Linked DNA regions of Coturnix japonica. The protein of the gene in region 2 purifies or fractionates together with the protein of the main gene of each other region. This does not show direct contact. Links are inferred from orthologs where the notes say so. Each region holds a gene or a part of one and is shown on either strand. Other genes may lie near its edges.

Evidence for each region. Proteins that work in one complex are often made in the same cells at the same time.
Region 1: the proteins of ATP2A2 (region 2) and PLN purify together in Homo sapiens (affinity purification with western blotting; 4 studies listed by BioGRID). This does not show direct contact. The link is inferred for Coturnix japonica from reciprocal best matches to the Homo sapiens genes ATP2A2 and PLN.

The regions. Positions count from the first base shown.
Region 1 is NC_029518.1:57,226,415-57,233,891, forward strand, and holds the end of PLN (cardiac phospholamban), read right to left. Parts: intron 6,509-7,477; 5' UTR 6,468-6,508; intron 4,062-6,467; 5' UTR 3,939-4,061; coding exon 3,780-3,938; 3' UTR 1,256-3,779; downstream 1-1,255. UniProt on the Homo sapiens protein: Reversibly inhibits the activity of ATP2A2/SERCA2 in cardiac sarcoplasmic reticulum by decreasing the apparent affinity of the ATPase for Ca(2+).
Region 2 is NC_029530.1:4,546,701-4,554,177, forward strand, and holds part of ATP2A2 (sarcoplasmic/endoplasmic reticulum calcium ATPase 2), read right to left. Parts: intron 5,330-7,477; coding exon 5,249-5,329; intron 4,426-5,248; coding exon 4,340-4,425; intron 3,545-4,339; coding exon 3,080-3,544; intron 637-3,079; coding exon 548-636; intron 1-547.

The sequences.
Region 1 (7,477 bases), on a different chromosome or scaffold from region 2:
CTGCATGCACAGAACTCTGCAGGATCCTGTGAAGTCTGACACGGCACTATTCTCAGGGTTTACTTCCAGTAGTAGATTGTTGGAAACATTGTTTTTCTAAAGGATCTCTGTAGGTGAAAAACACAACATATTCTGGGCAAAATGCATCTCTGTTAATTAGAGCTTTTCCTATCTTTCTAGGTACTGGTGTTGTGTACCATGATATAGGTAGTGTTTTGCCAACAGTATGCTGCATAGGATTCATTGCATCTTCACAACCTGAATTCCACAAGAGGAGACCAGATTGCACTGGTAGAGGAGGCGTCTGTAGTGCTACTAATATCACATATGCCATAGCCTTTTGTAAGATAATATCTTACTGATTGTTTTAAATGCAGATATGAGTATGTAGAAAAGAAAGGAAATGAGTATGACTAGTTATCCCTGACACTGAAGAGTTGCCGGACCTTTTTAATAACCAGCTAAGTTCAAGCTAAGATCAGAAGAGGGCACTGTTCTATAGTTCTGTATACTATATGAGATGGTACTTCTGTGATTTTTATTTTTAAGAGCAAAAAAACCGAAAAGTAAAAGCAACAAAAAGAATCTTAGAAAGCAGTCATCTTGACTGAACTGGTTGTCAGATACTGCAGCAAATACAGAGCCCATTTAAAAATGACTTAAATGATCTGAGTTCTTGTGGAGAACCATCCGTTTTTAAAGGAATTCTTAGAAATGTGTCCGGTCTCTAAGCCTTGCAGTGAGTAAGAGGTGTTCTCTCATCTCTTTCCGTAAGCAAAACACAGACGTCCTTCAGTATTTAACATCTAGTCAAAGCTAAAGGATCACATTCAGTGTAAAATATGATAGCCCTGGATCCTGTAGGACCTCACGAATATTTTTATGACAGTCAGTAGCCATATAAAGCTGGTATCTGGCCATAATCTGTCATGCATCAGTCTGCTTCCAGATAGGATCAAGGGTACTCTCTGAATGAACGTGTTCATTGCTCTGTGTTCAAATTTAGGCACAGCAGGCTTAAAATAAGGTGTGAGTGTGTATCTGATTATTGTTTTCCAGGTATTCTTTAAAAATTTCTGTGGAAGTTCTTTGTGCTTGGAGGCCAAACGCTTTGCATTTTGTGAGAAGCTTTATTAAAGGCTGCCTTACACAGGTGCTGGACTGAGTGCCAGACTTGACAATGGCTACCTCTCATTCACATAACTTTATTATTTTTTCCCAAGTTGATAATGGGATGGATGCTTCTTTTAAACAATTGCATTTGAATATCTTCTTTTATTCAGTAATATATTTTCAAACAGTCATTTTAATAAATAAAAATACACCTGATGCTAGTTTGGAAGCTCTTAGAAGTATACAAAGAAAAATACTCTGGGTTCAGTTGACAATGTAAAGTGGAGCATGGGAGTAGTTTTTCATATCAACAGAACCCTGAAGTGCAGATGAACCATATAGTACTTGAAATTTATCTGTGTTGATGTAAAATAACAGTATAGCTTCCAGCTTATTTATACCGTGGTTTATTCTTGCTTTTTGTTTTTAATTGATTAATGGCTTTTGAGATACGTAAGAGGAAAGCAGGTATTGTATTTATAGGGAGGCTGTTTTTTCTTTATTTAGCAATGTTCTGCTTTGACTACAGGCTTGTAGATCTTATAATTCCAAAATGATCTCAGAATGGGTACTGCTACTTTTTGCACCCTTTTCTCTTCAGAAAGCTTTTTTAGTACAATAAAACTGTCAGCTATTTCCAGTAGAAGTTTACTTCAGTAAGTTCAGTGTAATCTAAAATGTCTGTATGAGAAAAGCAAGTATGGAAACCCTCTCATCACATAATATAGATTTAAAAAATAGAAGTAATCTTTTCATTATTTGTCTTTTCCTCACAGAAGTGGTACACTGTGGCTTTTCTTCCTTTTAAGTAGTAGTAGTGATAGGAAAAGTGCATGTATGGAAAATCATGCATTTGTGAAGATGGTCAGAATGCATGAAACAGGAATTGAGGTTTATATTGACAGTTCTATTCATTATGGCTTGAAGTAGGATGTGTGTTTACATCAGTGTTTGCCTTAATCCTCATGCAGTAACTAATGACTTCTAGTGACTAACATTACCTCAGAGATCTGCTCTCAGTGTACCTATTTGCTAGTTGGGAAGTGTGTCACCAATGAGCTTGCATTACATTCAATATGAGTTTTTTTCCCTTGAATATTTCTTCCCTTTCTGCTCAGTTGTTCATTGTCAACCTCTGCTTATGTAATAGTATTGTTTGCCAAGGGTGGTGTAGAAAGAAGCTGGTTTAAAACATCTGATCTATGTATATTGATTGTTGAGCTTTCTTTTGAAGTTTGAGAGCTGTAATGTTTCTAGGAATTTAACCTAACACCAGCAACGTGTGAGAGGGCTGGAAGTCTGCTCAGGCCTGTTACTGATATCTGCTGGAGAAGAAGCTTCACCTTGTATTTGTATAGACTGTGTTTTATGTGCTAAATAAGTTTTTCTGCAGTGTTCTTCCTCCTGTAAATAATGATACGTATCATTTATCTTAGGAAAATACTTGCTTGTTCTCTAACAGTCATTTATAGTTGAGGATGATGGTGTTGCTTGTGTTTCTATGGTATGCCCCATTTGCAGTAGTAAAAATGACCTAAACCATTTTCTTTACCGCATCAAATGTAAGTCACGTAGAACAGCAGTGGCAGATATAAAACTATCTGTAGTTTTAAACTTGGGCACTTGTTATATGAGCAGGCAATACTCAAGTTGGCTGAAACCAAACATTTAAGAACTTGGGGGTATTTATGATTTTGTTGTGTTTTTTACGTGAGCCATTTGTTTATGCTACTTACAGAAAATGAAATCTTTGCCAGTAAGGTAGTATGCGTTTGTCTGCAAAAATGTACCAAAAGATCTTTCTGGTTGTCATTTAATTCTGTATAGTTATATCAAGTGAAAATGGAACAGTGACAAATGCCAGTGGAGAAAAAAAAAAAAAAGTTGCCTTTTTGTTTTTTTACCCAAGGTGTGTGCATATAGAAATACACATATACATTATATATATGCACACATTTTATATATATATAATGTGTATGTATAATATATATGTATACTTTATATAAATAAATATGGTTACATATGTAAGATCCTTTAACTTTGAAGAAGAGCATTTGAAAATTAAAAAAAAAAAACAACCTTCAGAAGATACTTTTTGTTTTACTTTTGTTCTCATAAATGCTAGAACAAGGTGAATACCTTCAGTTGATAGCACAAAGATGGAACATGTTTTAGGACTCTGAATAGATGTTTTCCTACTCTGCAGTATGTGGTATGTGTGCCAGCAGCTCTTCTTTAGTCTGAATTTGGAACATGCCCAGTGGTTTATGGACTTCTAGAGAAACTCGAAGATCGTGAAAAGGTGCACTTGTTGTTTGTCTATAGGGGCTAACCCCTGGAGAACTGGCTAAAACATGGGGAGACTTACCAGCCCTCTGGAGAGGCAGTTCCCTGCACCAGTCAGAACAGCCATCTCTTGACTGAACAGATAAATTAGGTCATGCACAGCTGTGTAACAACAGGCTTTAGACACTGTTCAGCACAGAAGTGTGTTTTTAATACATGTGGCAGGCAGTAAGAGCAGCGCGATGGCTGGCACACAGCACAGCCTTAGTCCAAGTGCTAGCCTCTCTCCCAAGGGGATCCTTGCATTGGGGTTGGAAGTGGAGGTCGCTCTTCCCTTTGGGTGGCTTTCCTAGAGAACAGTGCAGAGAAGTGCTGGAACTTCAGAGGAGCATCACAATGATGCAGATCAGCAAGAGGCAGATTAAGATCAGGCAGAAATTCACAAAGAGCTCCTGGAGCCTTTGGCGTGCTTGTGGGTTGACCTCAATAGTTGAGGCTCTCCTCAGAGCAGAGCGGGTTATGTATTGGACCTTCTCCATGGCAGCAAGAAAGCAGAGGGCACAGATCAGAGGTTTTAGAAGTGCAGGAAAGGAGAGGAGTTGTCAGGAACAGTGTAAAGTGCTTGTTATCTTCTCTTTTTTGTTTAGACAGCCTTTGTGGAGCTGGGAAAGCAGGAAAGTGAAGAGTTAGAAATGCAGAAGTAAAGTGCTTCGATAGGTGCAGATGGAGATTGTTTTAAGGTTCTAAGCAGCTTGAAGTAAACACATTGTTTTCACAAGGGCTTTTAGTTTAAAATGATGTTTTTTAAAATGTTGTTTTCCAAGTTCAGGTTTGTGCTGCATTATATTTCTCCTCCCATCACCTGCTTTTCAACAGGGGTTGGAGACTGTAAAATGGAAATTGTGGAAATGTGGGACTTACCAGGTCCTGCCTTTTTATATCCTTATCTTTCCATCCTTTGTGGCCTGAGACTGAGGTTGCTTTCCACCCTTCTCCCCCCATTACTGCTAGTTTAAGCACACCTGAAGCTTTGTGTTAGGGCTGGAGGCCAGGATGCCTGGCTGTATAGATGATCAGACTTGTTTTGGAAGGGAGGAGAATTAATCTTTATGCGCTGCCATTCCAAGTAAAAATACTTCATATGGTGTGAAATTAAAAGCTAAACATGACTGATTCAAGGAATTTTAGTAGTATATTTTTCATTAGACAGGATAAAGACTAAAAGGTTCAAGTACACCGGCTGCTATGGGAGCAAGATAAAGCATGTATATTACTTTGTCTCCTGCTTGAAATAAAACATGCACTCTTGCATCTTCTCCCTTTTGATGGCCGATGGAAGCACAGGGTGTTGGTTCTCTTAGAAGTCCCAGTGGGTTATAAAAGCCCTACTGTGCAAATCTTCTGTGTTGAGAGGCTGTGTGCTTGCTTAGCTCATGGCAAAGGGTAGGTGCTATAGCAATGAGGAAAAATTAGTTCTTAACATGGTGATACTGTATACATCTCTCAAATGTTGCTCTGAAAGCTGAACTTGCCCCCTGGTGGTTTGTGAGTATATACTGTAATAGCATCTTTGACACAAGGCTTCTCCTTATCTTGTTTGGTGTGTTTTGTTGTGTTTTTTTTTTTTTTTTTTTTTAATCTCTGGTGAATTATACAGATACCTGCCTTCCTCTCTTTCTTATATGCCAGGTAAAGGCCAACAGTTGGTTAGGTATCTGCTGCATGGTTTATAGGACATTCTGACTGACCCAGCGATGTTTTATCACCCGTGAGCCTGTCTTCAGGTGTGTCTAAAACAGAACCTTAAAATGAAACAAAAGCATTTTTCAGGCTCTTTTTGAACCCTCCATGTGGTTCTCTAAGGTTAGATGGCAGAAAACATGTATTTTCAGTATAGATGAAAACACTGATTTTAAAAAAAAAAAAAAAAAAAAAAGATTTTTGAAAGGAAGCACATTATACATGGGATTTTTTAAATCTACTTTTAGGTGATTCCATGTGATGGTATCTCCAAAATTTGAACTTCAGATTTTTCTTACAGTGACTTGAGCTGTCGTTGGTCTTAGCTTCACTGCAAACAAAGTGCACACTGAGGTCTTAGTTTCCTAGCACTGACTGTTTTTCAGCTTTGTTTGACATAACTCTGTACCTGTTCTCATCTATGTAAGCAGTGAAGGTGCTCAGCAGGCACAGTGTGCTGTGCTCCTTGCTGGCTTCTGCCTGTTCCCAGGGCAAGGATTCCCTGAATTGGTGGGTTGGCATTTCCAGCCTTGAGTGGGCTGCTGTGGGCCAAGCTGTTTGTCTTCTGCACAAGACATAGGAGGTGAACCACTGATGGACATAAGCAAGTACAGCTAGGTTTATGGAGCTAGCTTGTGTGATGGACACTGTACAGAGATTAGAGTTTCCTGAGGATGGCTTCACCCCAAGTCACTGTCATTTTTATTTTTTTTTTAACTTATGGGGTGTGCAGCCTGTGGCCTCTGTGTGCAGCCTGCTGACAGCGAGCTTCACCCTAGCTATTCCATTTCTTGGGGGCACTCAGAAGAATTTGCAGAGGAATGGGATTGTTTTACCTGCTCCTATACACACTGAACCCATTTCTGTGGGCTATCTTAGATATCCTGTATGCTTGCAGGCACCTGTATATCATGATGCTGAATACATTTCCAGGGGCAGTGACTGAAGACATTAAAGTACTGCTCTAAAAGATGGGCTGGACATCACAGGTGAGGAAAACATCACCAGTTCAGGGAAGCAGAGAGTCTCAGGGAGGACATCAGCACACAGCAGTCACTGTGCCAGAGTAGTGACACAAAAGGATTTAAAGAAGAAAATAGTAGAGTATATTAGAGTATATACCAATTATTGCTAGAAAAATACATAGAAAAGGGATGAAGAGAGGTCAGATTACAGTAACAGATTGTTTGGGGTTTGGAAATTTTTGAAACACCTGCATGTTGCTATTCTTACTTAGCCTGCCTGTGGGAGAGGTAAGCAAAGGGAACATATTCTGTATAATCAAGTTTTTCTTTACAAGTGCATAGTTTGAAGCAATAAGCACATACCTTACTTGTTAGTCCTCCATGATGCTGTCACCACCTGAAGTCTGCATAAAGAGAAACAGAGTTGGTAATACAGCTGCAGCTGAGTAGCCAACAAGGTCAAAAAGGGCAGCCTGACAATTAGTCTAAAATGAAGGCAATCACTGCACAGATATTAGTTTTCTTTGTTGTTTGCCCACTGTCCGTGCTTTAGGTCAATATGAAGAAGTATTATGCATGCACAAAACCACATCTTGAAAGTGTAGCAAATAGTGATATTTACTTGGCTTTGAAGCCAAACTGCATTGTCTTTGGGTGTAATGAGCCCAGAGGGGAAGCTGTTGGTTGTGTTGGTGCACAGTTGTCTTTAATGCAGGGCTGCTAATGGATGTGAAGGATCTGTCTCATGCCCAGGACAGCTATGCAGAAAGACATGACATGGTTAACCCCATGTTGCTGTGTGGGGTATCCCCTACACCTGGGGCCTTTGTGTGAGTCACCAGTTACAATTACTGCCTCCCCCTTCACTGACATATGACTGTTCCCCTGATTTGTGTCAGGCTATTTTTATCTTTGTTTCTGGATGTCCTTCACCATGAGAGGAGATCTGTGACCAAAGTGAAAACTGTGGGCCACGCTTGTTCCTGGTGCAACTGCACTGACTCCATTGAAGTCACACAGGATAAATTTGGCTCCTTTGGAAATGCCACAGCAATTTTAGACACAGGCTGTTTCCTGTCATATGTTTACTAAATGCAGTGGTGATATCAGTGGCGTGGGTCTGACATATTTGATTTGTTGCTGCCCTTTACAAGCAAGCTAAGCCCTGAAAAGGCATTGTTAAGCTGCTGCACAACAGGAGTTTCTATTTCACAGATTTTTACAATGAAATTTTAAAAACAAACAAAAAAAACCCCAACAACAGTGGTCTCACTTCGTATACTGGAAGTAAGTCTCTAATAATCAGGATAGCAATGCAGAAAAGCACTTTTAAATTCTGTGATCCTTGTTTTACATGTGTAGAACTGTACCCA
Region 2 (7,477 bases):
CCGAGAACATTACGGTCTTAACTGCTAAGAAAATTAAAGAGAGAATTGCTACTGAGATTGGTGAAGACTGCACCAAGTCAGAGGCCTGTATGTGAAATTCCACAAGGTTGAGCTGTTTAAAAATAACTGAATCCAACTCTAATGCATACACAGAGATCTATGTATCTATCTGTAGAATCTACTACACTGAATTGATAAAATTAAAAACATTACAGACTTGCCATACAAAAGGAGCAGTAAGAACCCAATAGAGCGAGGCTCACCTTCTGAAGAACCCTAAGGGTTCTCTTAGTTGCCTCAGTCTACCCTTATCTTATTCTTAGGAATGGGAAACTGCAATACTGGAGTATATAAAAGTTTCATGAAGGTTTGCTTTCCTAGCACTTACCTATCTTTATTGCTAATTAGGTTTCCCCAACCCTTCAGAGCAGGCATTCTCACTGGTTGAGCTTCCATGTATTAACAAATATTCTATGTCCCAACTTTCCAAGTCTAAAGCAACAGGCAATGAATAAACAGACAAATATTTAACTTCAGCAGCACTTACACTTCTCCCATGGGAGCGTATGTCGAACCAGTTACAGTAAATTCATTCAGAGAACAGCTATCTCCTTCTACTCTGTCCAGGATGAACATCTGAAATTAGAGTTAGAAGCATTACTGCCTTTGAATAGTCATTAATACACAAGATTTAAAAAGGCCTGAAGCAAAAAGGTACAAGAAACAAGTCCGTGTTCAATATGCAAACTAAACAAAACTAGATCTTGATCCTGTATGTATGTGAACAGCTCCCTGATCCGTTAATGCACAGAAATCAGCACATCTGCCTAACAGATCGCATTTGAGAAGTGAACGGAGGCACAAGGAGACAACAAGTTGAAAACAGATACTGTGTACTCAGTATCAACTGATATTAAGATCATTATCCTGACCATGCCTCCTAGGCTTTAAACTTGTGAATTAATTCTTGTTTATGTTTTAAAGAGTTCCAATCAAAAGAAGCACAGGACAGCTTGGGAAGGGACAATTCTTGCCAAAGCAAAAATACAAAGCATCTGCAAATAGCAGAAGCTTTCAGAAGTAGAATTCAAGTGCTGAAATACATTGAGCTTCCCTTAATACCACTGAAGGCATTTTGCATCCTGGCTCTTGCTAAGTCCTTTAATGCCCAGTGCACTGGTAGATGAGAAACGTTCAGACAGCTCGAGTGCCCAGGCAGCACAGGATGGAGTTATTTTCAAATGCATACACTGATTTAAAGGATGCATTTGTGCTCTTGAGCTGCAGGAAGACTCAAATCTGGGAAAGCATAGATAAGAGCATGCTCGTACTCAACCAGAACTAAACGGAGTGGTAGCAAAGGAAAAAGTGCACTGCTCACAAAGTGCACCTTGACACAGTTTCTTACTGGTTTTCTGGTATGAGCCATTTTGCCAAACCACACTTCAGCAGCATCCTGCTTGCATTGCCTCGTGTTTTAGGGAAGCACTTTTGCAAAACACAACATTCAGCTGATGCACACGTGGTCTTCATCAGTGTCTGGAGTCCCCACACTCTTTTAAAGTCATTTTAAAAACCAAAAAGCTCAACAAGCCAATGATTTAAGAGACCACAAGGCAGAATAACTGCATTCCTGCCTGACAGGACAGGTCGGGACATGAAAACAAGGCCTCAAAGCTTCTCCTTTCCCTCCTGACTGAACTGTTTAGGATATTATTTAACACCATGAAAAACAAAACTGTGAAGTGAGTTGCTACTGTAAAAACTCTTCACAACACAGCTTAACTCTTCACAGCCACCTGCTTCAAGAGAAACCATGAATGCATGCACTGGCTACAGGTTATTAGGATTTGGCCATGTTTTTACCAGACTTTGAAATTAAGGTCAACTTGAGACAGCTACAGAATAATGAGGACCCAGTAAGAAGCAAAGCACAAGACCTGGAGTACTCAGCCCTCTGAATGTAAGGAGCGGTGCCTTTGGAGCTCCTAAATAAACACATCTGAAGGTTCGTAACTGATGAGTTTACCATGAAGCCTTCTGCTTTTGGCATCTTTGTTTTTGGCAGCATTCATTTGGTGATAAAAAAAACCTCCGCAAAGACTAGGGCAGTTATGCAACTCTACTGCAAGTAACCTCCTCTGGAATACTGATGAGCAGCTGCTTTGTGTTTCCTAGGTATAAATACTACAATACTTAAGCAAGTAGAACAAGTCAACTGCCAGTTAAAGAAGCCGCCAACAATCACATGAGAATAAATTAAGACTTGCCAAAGATACCAGTCTGTAATGCTCAATGTTTATGTATTTGAAATTCTAACCCCATGTAATAACTGACCAAACATGTGATATCAGTGCTAAGCTGCTGAACATCCACAATTATTAAAAGAACAGAGTGCTTTCTCCATAAAATTCCTACAAAGACTTATTCAAGTATATGGGATGCACAGAAAATGGGCAACACAACATGCAAATATGACCATGGCAATGCCGATGATGGTGTCACCTGCACTGCCAAGTTGCCGGATTAGTCAGACACCATTGCATGTTGATGATGCTGCAGCAAAGTACATCTGAGCAACAGTGGATAGTGAAGATAACCAAAGGAAGGTGGGAACATTCAGTGGTGAAAATACCTCAGACTATCCAAGTTACTGCCAGCAAAGCCTTTAGATTTTCTCATTGCTAAGCTTCTCCCACCTCTGTCATCTTCATACACAGATGAACATTATTATGCTTGTAACATACCCACCCCATCCTTCTGAAACAGGACAGATCAGAGGAAATCATCAACAGGAAATTGAATTGCTTACAGACAGCCAATGGAAAGCTGCTTGCAAACCACTGTCCCTTACACCAAGAGGGGGGCGCAGCTATCTTTGTCCATGACCAAGTAAGGGAAGAGATATAAGACTTCAACACTCTACAATGGAAAACTGACCTCAACACAGCTTATCTTGGGAAAATAAAGGCAGATTTTGATGATTTGAGAACCAAAACCTCATGGTCAAAAGAACTCAAGAAACACTGACTATTCAGAATTGCTGAGGAAAAAAACAAAATGAGGTATTTCAACATACCCTGCAGACTGACATCTGATTGGTGGTCAAAGTACCAGTCTTGTCAGAACAAATAACTGAGGTGCAACCCAAGGTTTCCACGGAGGGAAGACTTCTAACAATTGCATTCTTCTTGGCCATTCTACGGGTTCCAAGAGCCAAGCAGGTGGTAATAACAGCAGGCAGGCCCTCAGGAATAGCAGCAACAGCAAGAGCAACAGCAATCTTAAAGTAATAGATAGCACCTCGAATCCAGGAGCCACCATGAACCGGATCATTGAAGTGACCGATGTTTATTATCCAAACCGCGATGCAGATAAGTGAGATGACTTTAGACAGCTGCTCTCCAAACTCGTCCAGCTTTTGTTGGAGTGGGGTTCTCTCTTGTTCAGTAGCCACCATCTCATCACGAATTTTGCCAATTTCGGTGTTGACTCCTGTTGCGATGACCACTCCCATAGCTTTACCAGCAGCAATATTAGTACCCTGATGTAAAGACAGACAGCTGTGTTTAAAAGGGCAGACTACAGAAGCAGTGTTTCAGCTCAATTGTGCAAGAGGTGGAACAGGAAGAATGTCATTCTCCCAGTACACACAAAAGAATACTCTAGTGTAGGATTTCTACTTAAAAAATTAGGGTGAATATGAACAAACACTGATCTATTGTAAGTAGTGTAAACAAATCCATCTGCTGCTAAGTACTGGCACCTTAAGAGCTTTTGTTTGTTTTAATCTGGCAAAACACAACCATAATAATGTTATTTACTGTAATACATGTGTTCTGTGGGACTCTGTGTGAATGTTTAAGATGAGTAACAACAGTTAGGCTTTCTGCAAGGAGTCCACCAACAATAAGAATTGTTATTTCAATATCTGAAAGGCATTCAACCACTTCCTTGAAACAAATTTCAATCAACAGTTTCTTTCCCTAATAACAAGCTGGTTCTCAACTTCAGCTACACATAAGTCACTTTATAAAAGGAGTTTAAGAGTTCCTTAAAGTGTATGTCCTTCAATATTCTTTCTAATGAAGGACAAAAATTAGTTTCCTCATATAAACTGGCCTCAACAAGCACCCTCACTAAGGATGGCTTTAATTAGAAGCCACTTCTAGCCTTTAATTCATTCAGTTTGATGCACATGGAGACATGCATACAGACGTGCACAGAGAACAGAGCAAGAAGTTCCACAGCCTTTACATGCACACCTTGAGTTCTCTTTGTTTTTGTTCATCAGCTTCTGTATTACTTTTTATGTTTTAAACTTTCAAGGAAAACTTACAGAGAAAAGCATGTTCTTCTTGTCTTGGTTTACAGCACGAGGATCGGGTACAGGATCAGTGTGCTTAATTACAGACACAGATTCACCTAAAATGAAGGCAACAGTCTTAAAAGATCTTTTTCTTATAAGAAAAATGTAGGCACTCCATACTTATGCTAAATATAAATAAGTTCCCTCATTCTTATGCTATTCAAGATTTGTAGTAAGAAAATGTGCAGCCTGTTTCAAGACAGATAATATTTTTTTGATGAACGATTTAATGCTTTAAAATTCACGGCTAGTTGACATTTACTATTTATGTTACCAAAACTGGCAGACAGATCTTCATGTTCCAGCTGAGAGAAAGCCACACTAGCATGCCTGGCTGATTCCTAGCTTCTTTCCTATATTCAGTAGTACTGTTACTTTGTTTTTGTTTTCAGCTAATCTGAAAAGTCCTCTAAATATAGCTCCTGCATTTCAGCCTGCATCACAAAACACACCAACGTGTGGACAGAATTTCATCAAATAAGGCTTTAGGAGCAGTAGTTTAAAAACTGCCTGTACTTTAAACGTTACACTCTCTTGTGCAACAAAATAGGTGTTACAGAAGCCACTTAGTAAGTTCGACAAGGCATTCAATGTAGAATAGAAATTATTCCCCATCCCCCCAAGTTTCTATTGTCTCTTAACTAAAAGCAATGACTAAAGAAAGCACTACAAGTCTCAGGAAGAATATTCATCTCAGTAAGGTGAACACAAATGACAAAGCCAACATATTCACCCACTAAGATTTAACTAACTACATAGGAAATGTGCTGCACTTAAACACAGTGCTGGTATAGCTAGAGACTTGTCTGTAATGTATTCTAAAACAATTAAAAGGCACTTCCAATGTATGCAGAATAGTCCCGAAGTCACGACTTGTACCTGTGAGAATGGACTGGTCTACTCTTAGAGTTGTAGACTTGATAGAAGTGATTCTTATATCAGCAGGAACCTTGTCTCCAACTGCAAAGAAATGAGTAAACTGAATTGAGTTTTGTCTATTTGAGAGATTTCTAACCTAATGTATATTAGCTCTATCAGCCACAAAAGCGATTTTCCAGTATCTACTCCAATGATTACGATTGCTACCAGCTGCTTATTGCTTCTGTGGTTTGCAATACTCTACTTTTAGGAGTTTCCAATATGCTTTGGCAAATTAAATTTGGTTTCAAAATCTGTACCTCTACTTAATCTCCACAAAACATTCCATAAATCACCACTGGTTCGCCCATCATGTGACCGTAACATGACAGCAAGGGGAGAACATTCTTGGAAGATATCAATTTCAGAATACATTTCAATAACCAGAATTAATAGCTCAGGTAAGAATCAAGTCCCCTCTTCAGAAAGGCTGTCCTAGCAAGCTGCTTTCTTTACACTAAATCAGTTTTCTGTTCCCCACAGATCAGAACACGACCCATGTTCGTTTATTTGGAAATTGCTTCTGCAGATCAGATCTGCTTTTTCTGTGTTATACACTTCTAATAATGCCAAATACGTTTGAGTTAGAAGCTAAATTCAGATCACACACCAACTTTAAGTAGTACAACTGTATTAAACACACCCCAGCTCAAACCCCTGCAAAATTTGGTAGATTACGTTGCGTTTATCTCAGTATACATTTCTATTTTGTAGAGCACAACAGCCTGCAATTAATAAAAGGGCACAAAAAACCTCCTGCAGCACGTGTTTGAGATGCCAAGGCAGCACGTGGTGCAGGAGGTAACAGCACACTCCTGTAGAGGCAGAGTTCTGCTCCCACATCTTCAGCATCCCAGAACTAATCCTTCCACCTTTCCACCTTCTCTCATCTTGTTCTCCCTGGTTTTTAAGAGAAGCTGAAGAACTAAAGCTGCACTATTTTCTTCTAATGGACACACACAGTGAAACTTACCCCTAACATAATTTACCAGTGCAATTATTCAGGTGTTAAAGTCTTTTTTTTAATTATTATTAAAAAACAATGCACAATGACAGGGGAGAACACTTCAATAACTAGCTAATAAGAGACCATTTTCTCAGTAAATAGACTCTGTGTCCCTGCAGTGAAATTAAACCAAGCTGCAATTCCTGCAGGAACTGCTTATGCAACTGACAGCAATAATGCACATTAACAAATAACACCCTGAGAAGGCAGCAGCAGTGTTACAGCCTTACAGCATACACACACACACAGACAGGAAAGCTAAGGAGCAAAATGCTGAAGAGGATTAAGTACAGCTTTGAACATTAAACTTGCACCATGTGACTTTTCCTATGGTCAAAAAAGCCCCCAAATCAGTAAAAGCAGCAAAGATGGAATAGCTTTGCTTGAGGAATAAGATGTGTCCTTGTGTAAGCATGTGTGCATGAAGGGATCCCATAAATAGACACAAATTGCCTTTTTGTATCATTATAGCATGTGAAAACTAATTTAAGCCACCATGCCCTTGAGCAGCAAGAGAAAATAGCATTAGACAAACAGTGACCTCGGCCAAAAATGGCCAAAGCATTCAATAGACTCTCCTGATGTCATGAGGAGGTTTATATGCAGACATGTAATGGCAGCTGCCTTTCAGCCATCACTGAACAACAGGCTAAGACCTCAGTGCAATGGGATGCAATGCCCATCAGCCCGGCTACACATCTTTGCACTTCTACCAATACTGAAACATTGTAATTTCAGTGCACGCTATTCCCAAGCATCATCAGCTGCCTCAACCATCCGCACTGTTTGAGAGAACACATTGTATTCACCACCACCACCCCTACTTAGAAGGCGGTAGTAAAACATCTGAGGTATTTCCAATAGGTAGGAAAGCTCACATCAGGATCAATGATGGAACTACTTTGAGAAGCTCTCTGCAAAACACTACCTACAACACTGAGCCATGTATCATCCTGGACATTCTTTTATGAGCATAAAAGAAGCTATAGACAGAAAATCACCCTGCAGTAGATAGGAACCCACAGGGAATTTTTGGTGAGCAGTCTGGTGCAGATTGCATCTACAAGGAGGCGGCTGATTTCCACATGCTTTAACACAGAGATCCATCTCCTGTTGTTTTCACGCTGTTTATTTTGTTGCTCAGCTTTATTTTAAAGCACAGAATCAGTAGAATTATAACCCAA